Linked DNA regions of Coturnix japonica. The protein of the gene in region 2 purifies or fractionates together with the protein of the main gene of each other region. This does not show direct contact. Links are inferred from orthologs where the notes say so. Each region holds a gene or a part of one and is shown on either strand. Other genes may lie near its edges.

Region 1 (5,716 bases), on a different chromosome or scaffold from region 2:
TCCAAGCTCACCACTTCTGCCAGCGACTCCTCTCTGCTCCACACAACCTTTCCTGGTAAAACAAACCAAACCACAACGATATTGGAAAAAAAACTCAAAACCAAGTGTGAGGACATAAGCCCTGGAACATTCATATCACTGAGATGGACCTGCAACCCCTTCTGCAAATGAGTGTTATCTGCCATGAGGATTTTGTTCTGTAGAAACATTGAGAAAGATCTAGAATGTTTTTAGACTCACCCTATGGTAAGATGTTTGATACCCCCCTAAAAAAGCCAAACCCTAACCTAAAACACTATAAAACTGATAGGTTCTCCCTATACAAAGAACATGGCAGAATAGTCATCTCAGGTGAGATATCTTTTGAGGGTGAAAGATGATGAAAGACTGCAGTATCTTCCACAGCACAACAGCAACCCTAAAATACAGGGCCTGGGTTCTACAGCACTGCAGTTTTCTTCTCCTCCTGAAGAAGGTTGCTGGTAAAACCCAGGTCAGGTTTGCAGTTTGTGCCAATCACCTGGCTGCTGGAGGAACATCAGCATGTGGTCTTCTGTTTGCACCAAGGCTCGGTAGCCCACCGAGTCATCCTTCTTCAGGAAAACCTGGATATAGAGCTGAGGGAAAAAGAAAAAGATTAAGCCAGTCGGTTGGGTTAGTGATCACACCATCTGCTTGGATAACAGTAAACACACAGGTGAAACAAACAGCGTAGCTGCACACAGTAATGATTTCACCACATCTCAACAGCTCTACAAATGGTGCCAAATCATGGTGTGAAGGCGATTGCAAGCACAACAAACCAGAGGACTGAAGTAATCTCTGCCCACCCACCTGCTCCTGCTTGACACCGTTCAGCTCCAAGTTAAAGGTGATGGTGGTATCCAGCAATCTTTGTCCAGTTTCAACCAGATAGAGATTGATGTTGTAGGTTTGATTGGAACAGGTTAAGGATTCCTGTAACATCGTGCAGAAAAATGCTCAGATCAATTTACCAGTCACGTCAAATTCTGCTGCAGAATCTCATGTGAGCAAGCATTATGGTTTCAAAATGTTTTTAGATGGTTTATCTATAGGTGCTGTGAAACATCAGCCTCCAAAACCAAGGTGTAACACCTTCTATGCTCTGTTCCCACAAGCAAAGGAAGAAAAAGGACTGTCAAGAACTTTTATGGCATATGGGAACTTGTTTTTCATACTTGTTTCTGGGAATCCTCCAGAGCACTTCCATGAAGGCCATCAGAACTCCCAGGTTTCTGCAATGAGGATGAGAGAAGGTAACGTGATTTGACACTGCCATGAGAGCGTGATAAATGAATTGCTTTGTGTGCTTGGCAATCTCAGCTTGGCTTTAAAAGCAGCAGAGAGTTATGCTAAAAACGAGGCTGTGCTCAGCTCAGTGCCCGTAAGAACTGAAATCTACTGCAGTGAACGTATACGTGACACAACAGCTTAGACAAGGTGAGCCTAGGCTGGATGTAACCAAGACCTGCATGCATTACTTCTTAGGCCTGAAAAGATCATTAAATCCCACTCTTTCCCAAGCTACTCATCATGCAGGCCTGCAAAGGAATAAGCGTGGAACCCACTCTAAGCCACATTCAGATGACAGAGCTGCACCTACCAGCTCATTCCTACAGGTCAGCACAGCAGCAACAGTTTTCTCCCCAGTAGTTGCAAAGCTCACCAGGGCTGCCTGAAAAAAAGGGAAAAAGAGAACGGAGCAAGAAATGATAAAACACAATAAAAAGGGGTGTTTGTTGTTAGCAGTGTTAAGCTGTGTTGGCCCTTTCTCCTGGTTACCTGCTGGAAGTCCCTCAGGTGGCTGAGCAGCCCCTGTTTGCACTGCAGCAGGGAGAAGGAGCCCGGAGAGAGCTGCAGGAAGAACTGAGTGCGCGAAGCGTTGATCACACTGGGCTGAGTAGCCAATATCCTGGGCTGGAAACCATCAGCAAACTCCAGGTCAAGCGACTGTGGAAGGGAAACAAGCACATGCATTGATGGAAACTTCTTCCCCAGTGAAACTAATAGCTTCCTTGTATCAGCAGCAACAGACAGCACCGCCAGGCACCAAATCAGCTGGATAACTGCACACGAAGCCTCTCAGCACTGCTCACCTGCAGCGGGATCTGCTTCATCTCCTGCTCCGTCTCCAAAGAGCAAACATAGAGCGAACGCGTGGCTGCGTCTGCACACACCAGCACTGCCTCCCCCACCACGTTGCAGGCTCCATTTAAGCTCTTCAGCCACGGGGCTGCTACTTTGGTCTGCCAAGAGAGACATCAAGAGATGAAGACGTCAACAGCATGATGATGTTTAAGGAATGAACTTACATACACAACTCCATGCACTGTGTTTGTTCATATCAAATTTGCCACATTGGATCCACAATCGAGCACAACTACCTGTTCTATGACTTCTCCATCCTCCACACTGAGCGTTAACACCTTCAGATGGCTCTGGGGGACAACTCCGAGCACATGGATCACTCCAGCCCCACGGGAATACAACATCTGGTATCGAGTATCCTCACTGTGCGAGAAACAAAGGGCACGAGGCATCGTTTGCTCGTCTTATTGCTTCCAAAGCTTTTCAAGGACATGAAGCATCCTGAGTTGGGCTGTGAGTCTGAACTTTCTTTCTTCAGCTCCAAATACATCCTCACCTTTCAGGCAGCTGTTCCACCCACTTCTGGTGCCCGTTGGACAGGTAGTGCAGGGAGATGGCCGCCTTCTTCAGCACTGCCACGTACTTCACCGCGTCCTGCAGCCCCACCAGACTCGCGGCCTGGAAACTGAGCACAGGTCAGAGATGGTTGATTAGAGAATGATCTGTGGGCTCTCAAACAGGGGGAGCTGTTGGATACAACCATCCAGATTTTCAAAGCCTGATGTCCAAACTGCTGTACTGCAGACAAGGTACGTTAAGCTTACTAACTAAATACTGACTTATCCCTGGTGCCCAGCGCTACCTGCCCGTGTCCAGCGACGTCTCCCAGTTCAGCCCTCCGATGTTGGTCTCCCAGGAGCGCAGGATGCGCCCGGCGCTGGATACGGTGATGGCATCTACACAGGGAGCAAAGGGAGCTGAGCCCAGAGCCAGGGCATCCAACACGGGGAGCAGAGCAGCTGCTGTGTGTGATGTGCTCACCTTGACCATGGATCAGCATCGCGTCGATGGCTCCTTCAGGGCCGGCCTTGTCTGCATGGCGCCACACTGAGACACAGAGCGAGAAGGAGATGGGCACAATGAGGATGTTGCTGACTGCTCTCAAACCCACGGCCCTGGGACCTCCCAAAGAGCCTCACTGCAAAGAGCCATGTCCTCACTGCAAAGAGCCATGTCCTCACTGCGGGAGCTGCAGCTTGGATTTCAGGGCCAACATCCCCCTGAAGGAGCACTGATAACTGGCACACATAGGCTTGGTGTCACCCTCATAGTGGATATACAGCACTGTGGGCTGTGACCCACACCCCGCCCCACTCACGGATGTCTCCGCTGCGGGAGTTGAGCGCAGCCACCACGTTCTTCTCGGTTCCCACCAGCAGCTTCTTGGAGCCCTGCGAGGCCTCCAGCGAGGCGAACTTCAGCTTCCCCACGTACTGCTGCCTCCTGCGGGGACGGGCAGCGTTACACGGACACGAGCCGTGGGTTTAGCCCCGCATTGACAGCCCGGCACTCACCAGTCGAACTTCCCCACTTGATCCTCGTACACGGCGGCCGCCAGCGGCAGCAGCAGCACCCACAGCCCGGCCGCCATGACAGCGCCGGGACCTCCCCGCATCACGGGGCTGCCCTGCGCTGCGCCTGAACGGGGAGGCACCGAGCGGGGCAGCCCGCACATCCCCAGCAGCACCCGCGGTGCCGGGGGGCCTCGAAGCACGGGGAGCCATGCCGAAATCCAAGCGGGACCGTAAGGGTGAGTGAGCGGCTCATGTCGCGGCGTTCCGTCCTCCCCTTCCCCATTAACCATTCAGGGGGATGGAGCACCTCCCCTATGAGGACAGGCTGAGCGAGTTGGGTTTGTTCAGCCTGGAGAAGAGAAGGTTGCGGGGTGACCTCATTGCAGCCTTTCAGTACATGAAGGGAATCTACATCCATGAGGGGATTAAGCTCTTGGAAAGGGCTGACAATAGCAGGACACGGGGAAATGGTTTTAAGCTTAAAAAGAGGGAAGATTTTAGGTGGATGTTAGGGGGAAGCTCTTTCACTAGAGATGGTTTAGGCCTGAACAGGCTGCCCAGGCAGGTTGTGGATGCCCCGTCCTTGGAGGTGTTCAAGGCCAGGTTGGACGGGGCCATGGGCAACCTGATCTATGGGGTCTCTATGGGGTCTATGGGGTCTCCTGGGCAACCTGATCTAGTAAAGGTGTATGTTTGGTGGCCCTGCCAGGCAGGGGGGTTGGAACTACACGATCCTTGAGGTCCCTTCCAACCCGGGTCATTCTGTGAACCACGTCCCCTCCCCGCAGTGTCCCTGACGCGGACGCCTAAGAAGGGACTGGAGGCCAAACAAGCGCTGATCACGGAGGTGAGTCGTGCCCAGTGCGCGCTGCCCCGCTCCACCCCATTAGGCCCCGCTAACCGCTGTCGTGCAGCTGCGGCGATGCGTGGACACCTACAAACACATCTTCATCTTCTCCGTGGCCAACATGAGGAACAACAAGCTGAAGGACGTGAGGAACGCATGGAAACACAGCAGGTGAGCAACGGGATGGGGAGTGATGGAGAGGGGTCAACCCCATCATCATCACCATCATCATCATCATCATCTTCCTCTTGGTTGAATTGTAGGATCTTCTTCGGGAAGAACAAAGTGATGATGGTGGCGCTGGGCCGGGAGCCAAGCAGCGAATACAGGGAGAACTTACACAAGGTGGGAGGGAACTCGGTTAGAAACAACCGGCACAGCTGTCCGTAGGGGGGGGTTCATCCATGGAGGTGATGAGGGCATTTCCAGCCTTAACTCTGAGTCTCAGCACCTCTGGGCTCCTTTATCACAGGTCAGCGAGCACCTGAGGGGTGAAGTTGGTCTCCTCTTCACCAATCGCACCAAAGAGGAGGTGGATGAGTAAGTATGTGTGTGTGACCGAGCTCATCGCAGCTCATTGTAAGTCCAAAATGCACAACAGGCTGTTCCTCACCTGCTCTGTCATAAAATACCCCCAACCCCCAGCAACCTGCACAGTGCCTCCATTCCTGTGTGTGCTCATCTCCCTCAGGTGGTTCTCCAACTTCAGGAAGGTGGATTTTGCACGAGCAGGGAACAAGGCGACCTACACAGTCAGTCTGGACATGGGGCCCTTGGAGCAATTTCCCCACTCCATGGAGCCTCAGCTGCGGCAGCTGGGATTGCCAACAGCTCTGAAGAAAGGTACACGGTGTGAGGGAGCTGCTTCCCTTTCTCTTCCATTGTGCCTATGCAGTCTGTTAAAAAGAACATTCTGTAGGCATTTAGGGTTGAGTTTTGGAGCAAAGCTGGTGCTCAAAGCCTTATTTTCTTCCTGTTGCACCACCTGGCTGCTGCCATAGGACGGGAGGCAGCCTTGTGCCCTCCTGCAGTGCTGATCCACTAACAAGCCAGATTATGGGGTTTTCTTCCCCTGCTTTTGTTCCTGCAGGAGTGGTGACGCTGCTTTCAGATTATGAAGTCTGCAAAGAAGGGGATATTCTGACCCCCGAGCAAGCGCGGGTCCTGGTGAGCAATGGAACACAAT
Region 2 (5,747 bases):
TGCACTTCTGTTCCTCAGGTTCCACCATACACCATGCAGCACTAACAATGTTGGTTCACTGATCATGCACTTAATAACACAGAACCCTTTGTAACAGGTGAGCTCAGCAGGGCTCCCACCAGAGAATAACTCTCATTTAAATACACCACTGCCAAGTCAGAGGCAAGAGCTTTCTTTCTTAAATAAGGTCTTGGGACACTCCAAGACATCAGCATGCTACTTGCGTAGAAGGGAGAAGTGCTGCCATTTGCCATCACCAGACAATAGCCAGGAAGAGCTCAGGACTGCCAGTGCCATCACATCACTCATGCTCAGGCAGGTTCCATGCCAGGAGGCTCATTGCCTCCCCAGCACTGCCCACCAGCTCCTGGCAAAGGGCTGAAGCATTTTCCCCTGCAATTTATGGCAGCATTGGGAACAGACACATGGAACTGCACTGAAGTTACATCAGTAAAAACTAAACCAAACTGGACATGAAGAGACAGCATCAGCTTCCTGCCACAGCAGCACTCATACAGTGCAGGACCAAGTGATTGCTGCACTCACATTCCAAAGCCTTCAAGAAATCATGCAGCTTCACAGACTTGGTTTTCCTATTTTATTGGGCATAAAGTCTAATTTTCTTCTTAATTAGTGGCACAACACTGCAAAGACTTGATTAGTACATCAGTTATCACCAGCACATGCAGCAGGAAGGACACAGAGGAGAGGGCCCCCACAGAGGATGTCTAAGGTCCTTGCTATCATACTTCCAGAACATACTCTTTATAAAGTTATTTCCCCACAGTTTAAGCAGAGCCTGCAAAACCAGTTTAATCATCTCCTTGGTTACACATCTGAGTGGCTCATCGAGCCAGTTCTTAACACTGCACATTGCACAAAGTATAACTACAGCTCAATCGCTGCTGGATATATAGTTTAACAAAGTTTTCTATTAAAAGACCCTGTCAGATAAAACAGCTCTTTTGACATCAGGTATTGCAGAGCAAAGCATTGAAGGGAAGTGGCTGCATCACACAAGTTACCATAACTACCCTTCAGAAGCTTAACTGGGAGAGCACTATCAGTTCTTATTTCAGCAACATCTCAACAGCTGAAACTGACTTGAGCGCATGTAAGCAACAAGATTTACTAGCAAAGCCCTGTGTTCAGTGCTACACTTTGTTACTGTATTTACAGAGGAAGCACAACTGCAAAACTAAGCACAGTGCATCCTCATGCAAGACAAGGGCCGGGGAAGAAAATTGTACAGACACAAGTCAGTACATTCAAACAAAACTGCCAGGAGACCAAAAGGAGGAGCAATACCCGCCCCATCCTCACCCCCTTCAAACGACATTCTCATTATTTCTGAGCAGGACTTGGCTATTCCACAAGGCAGGCCAATAGTTCCTTAAAGTTCAAACCACTGAAGAGCGGAGGAATCTCTGACATCTTGAGATCCCTTCACTTTCCACATCCTGCCTCCTCTGCTGTGTCACAGCAACTGCCTGCTGGTGAGCAGGGCAGGCCCTTTAAGATGGCTAAAAACCCTTCTGCTTTAACCTGTCATCAATGCTCCAGTCCAGTACACAAAGGCAGAAGGTGCTGTAGCAGGACAAGTAGCCAAGGATAAAGGATGTTAAGCTGCTAGCAGCAGCATCAGCTTTATGCCAACGTATCAGGTACACTGCAGGCATCCACGCCTGTCACACAGGCCTCTCATTAGGCAGACTTGGGAGATCTACACTCCACAGCAAAGCTAGACCACTAACCTCATTGCCAAACACTGTGATCTCAGCATCCAGATTCCCACCGCTCCTGAGAGGGATATAATAAAATTATGTTCATATCTACAGCAGCTCATACGATACAGACCAAATTTTCCCCTTAAGTGCTCAGTTCTGCAGTCAGACAGACTCCAGTAGTGCCCTGCCTTGCTTTCAACAGGCTGGAGTTCTGTGTGTGGGTGGTATCGTTGGTTTGGCTTTTTTTCTCCCCTCACAAAGGAGGGGTGGGGGCAGGACACACTGCTACTCTGAGAAGGGATCAGCCAAACCTGGAGCCCCCACGAGCAACAGAAAAAGCCACCCTGGTTGGACTGCAAGAAGAACAAACCAAGGGATTAGGTGTGAAAGGTGACAGCAAAGCTCGCCTTTAATAAGCACTTCAAATACGCCAGTTTCTAAAAATAATGTACAACACTGCAGAAACAGCAAGGGAGAAAACACCATGTACTGTTTGTCAGCACAGAGATCCCCGCAGAACTGGAAGTCCTTGGAGGACAAAGGCAGAACTGCAAGGCTTCTTGGCCATAAAACAGATGGACTGCAAGGGAAATTAAGGTAGGTGGGGAGAAATGTGGAGGCGCCTCAAGATCTTTGAGATCATGCCTAGAAATCAATTCAGGATTGCTTTGCTACAGAATTGATTCCAGCAAGAACAGGCTGCCATTTTGTTCACTGCAAGAGGCAGAAAAATGAAAGGCCAGGAAAGGAAATACAAGGAAGGGCTAAGTACAAGTTACAGGGTGCTCTCAGTGAAGCATTTATTCATTTACTTAGCGGGAAATGCTGCAACACATTGAATGAAAGGGCAAACTAGAGGAAGCTGTGAGCTTCCTCGCTGTTCTGCATTAGGCTTCTCTTCCAAAAGGGGCAGCCAACACCAGGAAACAGTTAACGTCCTATAGCCAGCTTGTCAAATAGTATGTAGAAATAGTCTCTTCATTACACATATATTTAAGTAAAGTGAAGTAAGTGGAAATATTGAGACTTAAATACTGAAGTTTAACTAGAAAAGGGCCAAGCATTCTGAATAAACCCACATAATGTAATAGCCACTCTCGTGCACCTCAAGTGTTTTTGTAGTAATATATTAACTTCCATTTAACCCATACTCTTAACACTGTTATATCACACCTTATTACGGTTCTATTATCTCCTTATAATACACATGGGTTATCACTACTTGACAAACATTAAATAACAGACTGAATTTCAACAAACATCACGTTCCCGGAGCCCGGACCTCAGGCACCAGACAAACCCCAAACGAACTCGGTGTGTTTTACACGATGCTCAGCAGCGTTCATTAACATCACAACCGCTGAAGCCCGGAGCTGTAGGTAACCCCAGCCAGCACCACATGGCAGCTTCCCTTCCCAATGAGCTCACCCGCAGCATTTCTCTTTCCACCGCCTAGAAAGTTCTGAAGCGCGGGACGGCACGTGAAAGTTCACTCTTTAGGAGCAGAGCAGACAGCGCTGTCACGACTACGAGTGCTTTACTAAGATTTGTAATTCAAAAGCACACGGCTGAGACCCTCAGACCAGCAGTGCGAGCTGAGAGCCCTGCGCTGCAACCAGCCCAGCCCGTGAGGCTCACAGCACGGCGGCTCTCAGCCCGCACCCCCACCTGTTGTTTCCCATTGCACACCCCGTTGTTTCCCATTGCTCATCCTCCCCGTCCCCTCACTCCGTGCTCTCCCCCCCTCGTGCCGTCACGGCCCCGCTCCCCATCCCGCCCATCCCCGCACAGGCCGCAGCGCCGCCCGCCCTCAGAACGTACCAGAAGGCGCCGTTCCCGCAGGGCTCAGCATGGCGGCCCGCAGCTCTCGGCCGCACACATCCCTCCCTCAGCGGCTCGGGACCCCCCCGCTGCCCACAAGGCCCACGCTGGAGGCTGAAGGCTCGAGGCCCGGCACCCCAACACCGCACCCCCCGCACCGTGCGGAGCCCCGCAGCCCCAACAAACCCCCCGCCATGTGTATATATGTGTGTGTGTCTGTGGAGTCACTCACCGCACCCCGCAGCACCGCGGACCCTCCCGCCGCCCCCGGCCCTCACCTCCGTCACGTGTCCAGGCGCCCAGCGCCGCCGTCGCCCGCCTATCTATTGCGCGCCAGCTCCGCCCCCCGGCCCACCTCTCTTCTCTTCTCCCATTGGCGAGCGGCGCGCCCACCCTCCCGCCCCTCCGCCCGTTCTGCGTTCTGATTGGCTAAAAGCGCCGCCGCTCAACGGCCCGCCCGCCTCAAAACACGCCCCAACGGCGCTGCCCTTCGTGGAGCGCTCCTATTGGCTGGCGAGGTTGCAGGAAGTGCGCGGTGATTGGCTGGCCCAGGGGAGGCCGTTGAGATGTGGGCGGGGACACGGCCGCTCTCTGTGGTGGGGGCACGGCCGGGGCTGCGGCCTGGGCGCATCGCCTCACAGCGGGGTTAGGCTTCAGAGCGGGGTTAAGGCCCCGTAGCGGGGTTAGGCCTCACAGCGGGGTTAAGGCCCCGTAGCGGGGTTAGGCCTCATAGCGGGGTTAAGGCCTCGTAGCGGGGTTAGGCCTCACAGCGGGGTTCGGCCTCGTAGCGGGGTTAGGCCCCATAGCGGGGCTCGGCCTTGTAGCAGGGTTCGGCCTCGCTCGCTGCTGTGCCGGGAGCTGCTCGTACTGCTGGGGCTCGTTCACCTTCATCGCTCCCTGGTGTTTCTTTAACCCCTCGGAAAGCGTTTTCAGCCTGTTAGGAAAATATCTGTGTGTCTGGTACCCCTTAGTCACAGGCTGAGCTGAGGGTGTGGGCCTGGGGCCGGGCAAGAGGCCTTGCAGGCCTTGTGTAACGCCGGGTTCCCGAAGGAAGCGATGCGGTTGTGTCAGGGTGTCTGTGAGGCCAGACGAGCGGAGGAGGGCGGGGATGCAGAAGTAACGGTTCTGGTGGCGGAAGGAAGGGCTGAGGGCTGAGGGGAGCGGAGCAGGCCCTGCCTCCGCTGTGCCGCCCGTGGGAGCTGAAGCCGAACGTCCCGGTGCCGGCTGTGGCCTCCGGGGAGCAGGGAAGGGGGGTTTTCCTTTACAAACGTCGTTCTGCTCTGAGCCGACGCGGTGAGTCAGCAGCGTTACGTCTCCTCGCAGAGAAAATTCCACCCCGTGAGGACAATGCCGGCACTGACCCAGCTCGGAAATGAGGCTCAGCATAAATGAGGTCAATCAGCAAATCCCGCTTGTGCTGAAGTTTGGGATCTGATGGTCGCAGTTTACCCCAAAGCCACCGAGCTGGCTCCTGTGCCTCGCTGTCAGCTGAGCTGCGCCCAGCCTGAATGCGGAGAGACAGGCAGGGAAGCAGCCCCAAACGACAGGCAGCAGGTGAGATACCAAGTGTCTTAAATAAGAAACCAATGCTCTAAAAGGTAACAAAGGTGTTTAATTTAGCATGTTCCATCTCCTCCCTGGGCAAAATGCAGTTTTTGCCAGGTACCATCCAAGTCCCTCTTTTGAAACAGGCTATTACCTCCAGCATAGCTTGCAGGGCAGCAGAACGCTGTGCTCCAATCACACGAGCTCTGGGAAGGCAATGCACAAACACAGTCACGGCAGTCACACACTCACACACACCCAGCAGTCACACATGCCTTCCTGCTCTCCCCCACCCTCTCCCAAAAAAAGCAGGCATTCCTTCCTTTTAGGACTGCTGAATCATGGCACAGGCAGCCCTGAAGCCCGTTTGCTGCCCGCTCTGCTTTGTCATCTGGGGACAAAAAGAGCCAGTTAAAAACAAATACAAGCTGCTAAAAGCGTATCATGCTCTGGGATTATTGAGGTGTTTAAACTGAGGTTAAAATAATACAAAATCCACACAGGGCAGAAAGCTGGTCCAAGAAAAAAAAGGGGATAGAAGAAAAAAGGAGGACTGAAGGGAACAGAATGACCACGCACAGAGGTCTCAGTGCTCTGGCAGCCAAGCAGGTGGTATTTTTAGGCCAGGCTCAGCTGTGCCAGGGCAGTGGAAGA
Region 3 (5,812 bases), on a different chromosome or scaffold from region 2:
GGTCAGGCTGGGAGGGGACCCCAGAGGGGACCCGGAACGGATCGGGGATGCCATACCTGTGTCGTAGCCTTGGGGCAGGCGGGTGATGAAGTTGTGGGCACCCACCCGGCGGGCAGCAGCTGTCACCTGATCGCGGCTGCAGCCCCCCGACCCATAGGAGATGTTGTCGTGGAGGGAGCGGGCAAAGAGCAGCGGCTCCTGGGGGACGACGGCCACCTGCAGGAGAGGGATGCAGCTGTGGAGGTGGTGGGGATGGATCGGGGACAGCTGGGGATGGATACAGTGGGGATATGGTGGGGAATGTGGTGATGCTTGTGGACCCAGACAACTGGTGACCCAACGGGGATGGCTGCTGATATGCAAGAACACCCGGTGACCCACAGGGACAACAATGAGCTGTGGGGATGTGCGGTGACTCACCTGGCGGCACAGGTAGGAGTGCTGGTAGGTGGGGAGGGGGTGTCCATCCAGCAGCAGGCGTCCGGCTGTGGGCTGGTGCAGGCGGGACACGAGGGCCACCAGAGTGCTCTTCCCTGCACCTGGGGGTCCCAGCAGGGCCAGCACCTCCCCAGGGTGAAGCTCCAGCGATACACCCTGGGGACATGGATGTCACACCCATGGTGTCCCTGTACCCACCCCTCCATGGCCCCATGGCCTTCCTGCTGTGCCCTTCTGTCCCCTTTCCCACCCCCCTTCCCCAATCTCGTTTTGTTCCCATACCTCTGGTACCACATCTATACACCCATGCCCTCCCCGCCATGTCTCTGTCACTCATTGTGTCCCCATGCCACATTCCCACCACCTGCCATGTCCCTGCGCCCTCAATGCCACGTCCCCAAACCACCCCCTCCTTGCACCTCTTTGCTTCATATCCTCACACCCATCATGTCCATCACATCCCTGTGGCCCTGGATCACCCCGCTGTGTCCCCACACCTGTCACGCTGTTCCACCACATCCCTGTGTCCCCTGGCTCTGTCCCTGTGCCCACCTTGAGGACGGGCTCCTGGCGCCCAGGGTAGGAGAACCAAACGTCCTCCAGCTGGAGGTGGCCCTGCAGCTCACTGGGTGCCATTGTCCCCGAGGGTGCCACCTTGGGCTCCCGGTCCAGGAACTCAAAGATCTTCTCTGAAGAGCCCACAGCCTTTGTCAGTGTGGGGTAATAACAGAGCAAGACCTGGGGACAGCGCAGTGATACAGCCAGGGGTTAAGGGGAAGCGGCATGGGGACATGGGGACGTGGGGACATGGGCATCCCCTCGGGCTCACCTCTATGACATCAGTGAACTGCATCTGGTAGAGGAGGAAGGTAACGAGGTCCCCGGTGCTGACGGTCCCCGCAGCCACCAGCTGCCCCCCATAGTAGAGGATCCCCATCTTCAGAGCCAGTGCTGAGAACTGAGGACGCCATGAGGTCAACGGGGGACACCTTCCCAATGATACACTGAGTTCCCAGCCCTACTCTGTCACCTTGCCCTGCTGTCAGTGTCCCCCATGTCCCAATGCCCCACAGCTATGCTATCCATCCCTTCATGCCATCATGTTCTGGAGCCCCTGTGCCACTCCATTCCCACATCACCGCATCCTCCTGCCCCACCACTCCTCTACTTCTGTGCCTGCCACATCCTGATGTCCCCATGCCATCACATCCCCATCCCACAGTCCCCATTCCATCATATCCCCATGCCCTGCCTCCATCATGGCCCCCAGCCCCTCAGCATCATGTACCCATCTCCTCATGTCTCAATACCATCATGTCCCCATGTCACCCAGTCCCTATCCTGTCAAGTCCCCATGTCCCCCAGCCCCATTCCATCACATCCCCATCCAACTGAACGGCCCCATCCCATACACCGCTGGTCCAGAGGTTGACAATATAGAAGGCTACATCCTTCTTCTCCAGGCTGTGGCTCTGCTGCAGGCGCTGCCGGTAACATGCAGCCACCCCGTCCTCATTGGCGAAGCTACGCACAGTGGCCATGGCCTGGAAGGTCTCCACTGCCACCTCGCTGGCCCGGGCATGAGCCTTCTGCATCTGTGGTGCCAGGCCCTGGGGACAGCAGTGTCACTGCAGGGTGGGTGGGAGAGGAATGGGGGCTGGGGGAGGGGACAGTGAAGGCATAGAGGGGACTGAGAAATGGAGGGGACATAACGGGGATGGTGGGCACGTGGAGGTGACAGTGGGGGCACGCAGAGGATAGTACCTACATGGAAGGGATAATGGTCACACATAGGGGATAGTGAGCACGTGGCAGGGGTGGTGAGCACATGGAAGGGACAGGGGGCACGCGAAGGGACAATGGTCACATAGAGGGGACAACAGGAAGGAGGACAGTGGGTACGTGGAGGGGACAGCGGACACATGAATGGGACAACAGGCACGTGGGGGCACAGCCAGCAGCCCATACCTGCCGGAAGCGCCCCATAGCCCTGGGCAGGGCCAGCAGCAGGGGCAGCAGCAGCATGGTGAGCAGTGCCATGCGTGGGGACAACCAGGCCATGGTGGCAAAGAGGCAGATGCCACGTGCCAGATACCACAGCAGGAGGCTCAGTGCTTCACCCAGCTCTTCCCGCACGTCCTCTGCATCCCGCGTCACCCGCGTGGCCACATCCCCTGCAGGGTAATGGTGCCATCAGTGCCACCCCTGTCCCTTTTCCCTCCCTATATCACCCCCCCAAACCCCCTTGGCCTCTCACCGGCCCCATCAGCTCGCAGCTCAGCAATGTCCTGCCTTAGGACGGCAGCGAAGACACGGCGCTGCAGGCGGCTCTGCGTGCGGCTCAGCGTCCCCACGAAGATCACATCACACACCAGCTCGGTGACAGCGCTGTGATGGCACTGAGGTGTCAGGGGGTCCCACGCTGCTCCCCACCCACACCGCATCCCCCTCACCCCCCTTGTGTCAATACCTGCTGAGGCCCAGCAGCACCATGGGCAGGATGGCTGCCAGCTCGTCCTCGCGGGCCACCCAGTCGCTGGCACGGCCCATGTAGTAGGGGACGGCCATCTCACCTGTCACCACAGCAGGGTCAGGACAAGGGGGTGACCCCTCCCAACAAGAAATGGTGCCCCAGAAGTTCTGTGCTGCACCCCCAGTTTGGTGCTGTACCCCCAAAGCTCGGAGGTGAACCCCTCCAAAGCTCAGCATTGCCCTCCAGTGGGCTGCACCCACCCATCCACTCATCTCCATTCAATCCCCACCATTTCCATTCAATCACCATCCTCACCCCAACCCAACCCCAATCCCATCTCCATCCTCACTCCATCACACCCCCATAATCACCCTGCCCTCAATCCCCATCCCCATCCCAAAGCCAGCCCCAGTTTCCATTCTCCCTATTCCCACCCCATCCTACCCCCATTCCCAGTTCTAAACCCACATCATTCCCACTCCATCCTAACCCCATTCCCAGTGCCCAGTCTACCCCCACACCATTCCCATTCCCATTCCCATTCCCCATCCCATTCCATGGTTATCTCCACCCCCACCCCATCCCCTTCCCAACCCATCCCCATCCCTATCCTCACCCCCATCCCCACCACAACCCCATCCTCATTCATTCAAATCCCAATCCCACTCCGATCCGCTCCCCACTCCCCACTCCCCGTACCCAGCGCCGAGGCCGCCATCAGACCCATCCCCGCAGCGCAGCGCCGGCTCTCGGGGCTCAGCGAGAGGAGGAGGCGGCGACCTGCGCCCATCGTCCCCATTGCAGCCCCCGATCCCACTCCGACCCCGATCCCAATGCCCGGCAGCGGCCGCAGCTTCTCGGAAACGGGAGAGTCGCTCATTGGCTGAGGCGATGCGGCAGCGGCTCCTCTCATTGGCCGAGACGGGGTGGAGTCATCAGTTGCCAGGCAGATCGGAACGGAATAGGTTGGAGAGGGGTGGGGAAATTGAAAGCGAAAGTAACGGCGGAGCGGGGAGGAGATGGGGAGCGGCGGTGGTGAGGGGCTGGAGGGGGTTGGAGTGGACTGGTGGGGGGCTGGTGGGGACTGGTAAGAGATGGACTGGACTAGAGGGGGGCTGGAGGGGGCTCGTGGTGGCTGGTAGGAGCTGGAGTGGACTGGTGGGGGACTGAAGGGGGTTGGTAGGAGGTGGAGTGGACTGGAGGAGGCTGGAGTAGAACTGAGGAGGGGGTCTAGAGGGGCTGGTGGGGGCTGGAGTGGACTGGTGGGGGATGGAGGGGGCTTGTAGGGGCTGGAGTGGGCTGGTAGGAGCTGGAATGGACTTGGTGGAGACTGGTGGGGGGCTGGAGCGGACTAGAGGGGAGCTGGAGTGGACTGGTGGGGGCTGGAGGGGGCTAGTAGGGCCTGGGGGGGCTGGTAGGAGGTGGATGGACTGGTAGGGGGCTGTGGGGGGGCTGGAGTGGACTGGTGAGGAGCTGGAGCGGGGCTAGTAGGAGCTGGAGGGGCTGGTGGGGGCTGGTAGGAGCTGGAGAGGACTGGTAGGGACTAGGGGGGCTGTTAGGGGCTGGAGTGGGCTAGTAGGAGCTGGAATGGACTGGTGGGGGCTGGAGTGGCTGGTGGGGGACTGAAGGGGCTGGTGGGGGGCTGGTAGGAGGTGGAGTGGACTGGTGGGGGGACTGGAGGGGGCTTGTAGGCTGGGGTGGACTAGAGGGGAGCTGGAGGGGTTGGTGGGGGCTGGAGTGGACTGGTGGGGGGATGGAGTGAGCTGGGGGGGCTGGAATGGACTGGTGGGGAGCTGGAGGGGGCTGGTATGAGCTGGAGTGGACTGGTGGTTACTGGTGGAAACTGTTGAGGGGCTGGTGGGGGCTGGTAGGAGTTTGTTGGCTGCTGGTGTGTGCTCCAGGCAGGGCTGTGGGGAGCTGGGCTGGAACTGGAGGCCATTCTCAAAGCACTGCTGTGTGTTCCAGACACTGAGGGGAGCTGAGGACCTGCACCAGGAGCACACCAGGAGCACCCCAGGGAGCCCACCCAGTCCAGCTGTGCACCAGAGGCTCTGGGGGTCTCCACCCTGCAGCCATGGCCGTGCCACCCCACATTCTGCGCCTGTCGTGCACGCTGCTCCTGGCCGACCTGGCCCTTATGTTGGTTCTGACCCACTTCTTCCCAGCACTGGCCCAGTTGGGCCAAATGAGCTCCTGGCTGGAGGCTGTGCTGCGCCTCCTGGTGCTGGGGGGGGCCAAGCAGCTGCTGGCCCCCAAAGGACCCCATGGGGCTGCAGTGTTGCTGAGCCTGACCCCAGCCATCTTCCTGACCCTACGGGGCTACATGGGGCTACCTGGAGCTGCCCCGGTGCTGCTGGCCACAGCCACACCATCCTGGCTCGTGCTGACCCACGGGACAGCTTTGGTGGCATTGCTCACCTGGAGCCTCCTTGCCCCGACTGTGGCTGTGGGGGCAAAGGATGCAGAGACCTGGGTGCCCCTGAAGAGGTTGCTGGCCCTCGCCTGGCCCGAGTGGCCCCTCCTCAGCTGTGCCTTCTTCTTCCTCGCCTTGGCTGCACTGGGTGAGACCTCAGTGCCCTACTTTACCGGGAGGGCCCTGGATGTCCTCCGCCAGGGGGACGGGCTCACCACCTTCACTGCTGCTGTCGGCCTCATGTGCCTGGCCTCTGCCAGCAGGTAGGGATCCTGTATCTCTCCACAAAACCCCATCCAGCTCTGGTGGTCGTCTGATGGGTTTGTGGGTCTCTGTCGATTCCTGGTGGTCATCTGATGGGTTTGGGGGTCTCTGTCAATTCCTGGTGGTCATCTGATGGGTTTGGGGGTCTCTGTCCATTCCTGGTGGTCATCTGATGGATTTGGGGGGTTTCTGTCCACCCCTGGTGGTCATTTGATGGATTTGGG

What was found. Proteins that work in one complex are often made in the same cells at the same time.
Region 1: the proteins of CANX (region 2) and EMC1 purify together in Homo sapiens (affinity purification with mass spectrometry; 4 studies listed by BioGRID and IntAct, with this or other methods). This does not show direct contact. The link is inferred for Coturnix japonica from reciprocal best matches to the Homo sapiens genes CANX and EMC1.
Region 3: the proteins of CANX (region 2) and TAP1 purify together in Homo sapiens (affinity purification with mass spectrometry; 3 studies listed by BioGRID and IntAct, with this or other methods). This does not show direct contact. The link is inferred for Coturnix japonica from reciprocal best matches to the Homo sapiens genes CANX and TAP1.

The regions. Positions count from the first base shown.
Region 1 is NC_029536.1:4,061,381-4,067,096, forward strand, and holds the start of EMC1 (ER membrane protein complex subunit 1), read right to left. Parts: upstream 3,801-5,716; 5' UTR 3,785-3,800; coding exon 3,684-3,784; intron 3,613-3,683; coding exon 3,488-3,612; intron 3,217-3,487; coding exon 3,151-3,216; intron 3,066-3,150; coding exon 2,972-3,065; intron 2,795-2,971; coding exon 2,666-2,794; intron 2,533-2,665; coding exon 2,406-2,532; intron 2,268-2,405; coding exon 2,118-2,267; intron 1,972-2,117; coding exon 1,804-1,971; intron 1,697-1,803; coding exon 1,625-1,696; intron 1,257-1,624; coding exon 1,200-1,256; intron 958-1,199; coding exon 835-957; intron 618-834; coding exon 521-617; intron 53-520; coding exon 1-52. Other genes in the region: MRTO4 (mRNA turnover protein 4 homolog), read left to right, coding at 3,892-3,919, 4,472-4,530, 4,598-4,701, 4,794-4,875, 5,003-5,070, 5,222-5,373, 5,621-5,697. UniProt on the Homo sapiens protein: Part of the endoplasmic reticulum membrane protein complex (EMC) that enables the energy-independent insertion into endoplasmic reticulum membranes of newly synthesized membrane proteins.
Region 2 is NC_029528.1:4,533,290-4,539,036, reverse strand, and holds the start of CANX (calnexin), read right to left. Parts: upstream 3,886-5,747; 5' UTR 3,781-3,885; intron 1-3,780. UniProt on the Homo sapiens protein: Calcium-binding protein that interacts with newly synthesized monoglucosylated glycoproteins in the endoplasmic reticulum. It may act in assisting protein assembly and/or in the retention within the ER of unassembled protein subunits.
Region 3 is NC_029531.1:100,818-106,629, forward strand, and holds the start of TAP1 (antigen peptide transporter 1), read right to left. Parts: upstream 3,801-5,812; 5' UTR 3,792-3,800; coding exon 3,611-3,791; intron 3,012-3,610; coding exon 2,909-3,011; intron 2,827-2,908; coding exon 2,696-2,826; intron 2,613-2,695; coding exon 2,407-2,612; intron 2,049-2,406; coding exon 1,851-2,048; intron 1,397-1,850; coding exon 1,268-1,396; intron 1,177-1,267; coding exon 991-1,176; intron 595-990; coding exon 421-594; intron 217-420; coding exon 57-216; intron 1-56. Other genes in the region: TAP2 (antigen peptide transporter 2), read left to right, coding at 4,986-5,587. UniProt on the Homo sapiens protein: ABC transporter associated with antigen processing. In complex with TAP2 mediates unidirectional translocation of peptide antigens from cytosol to endoplasmic reticulum (ER) for loading onto MHC class I (MHCI) molecules.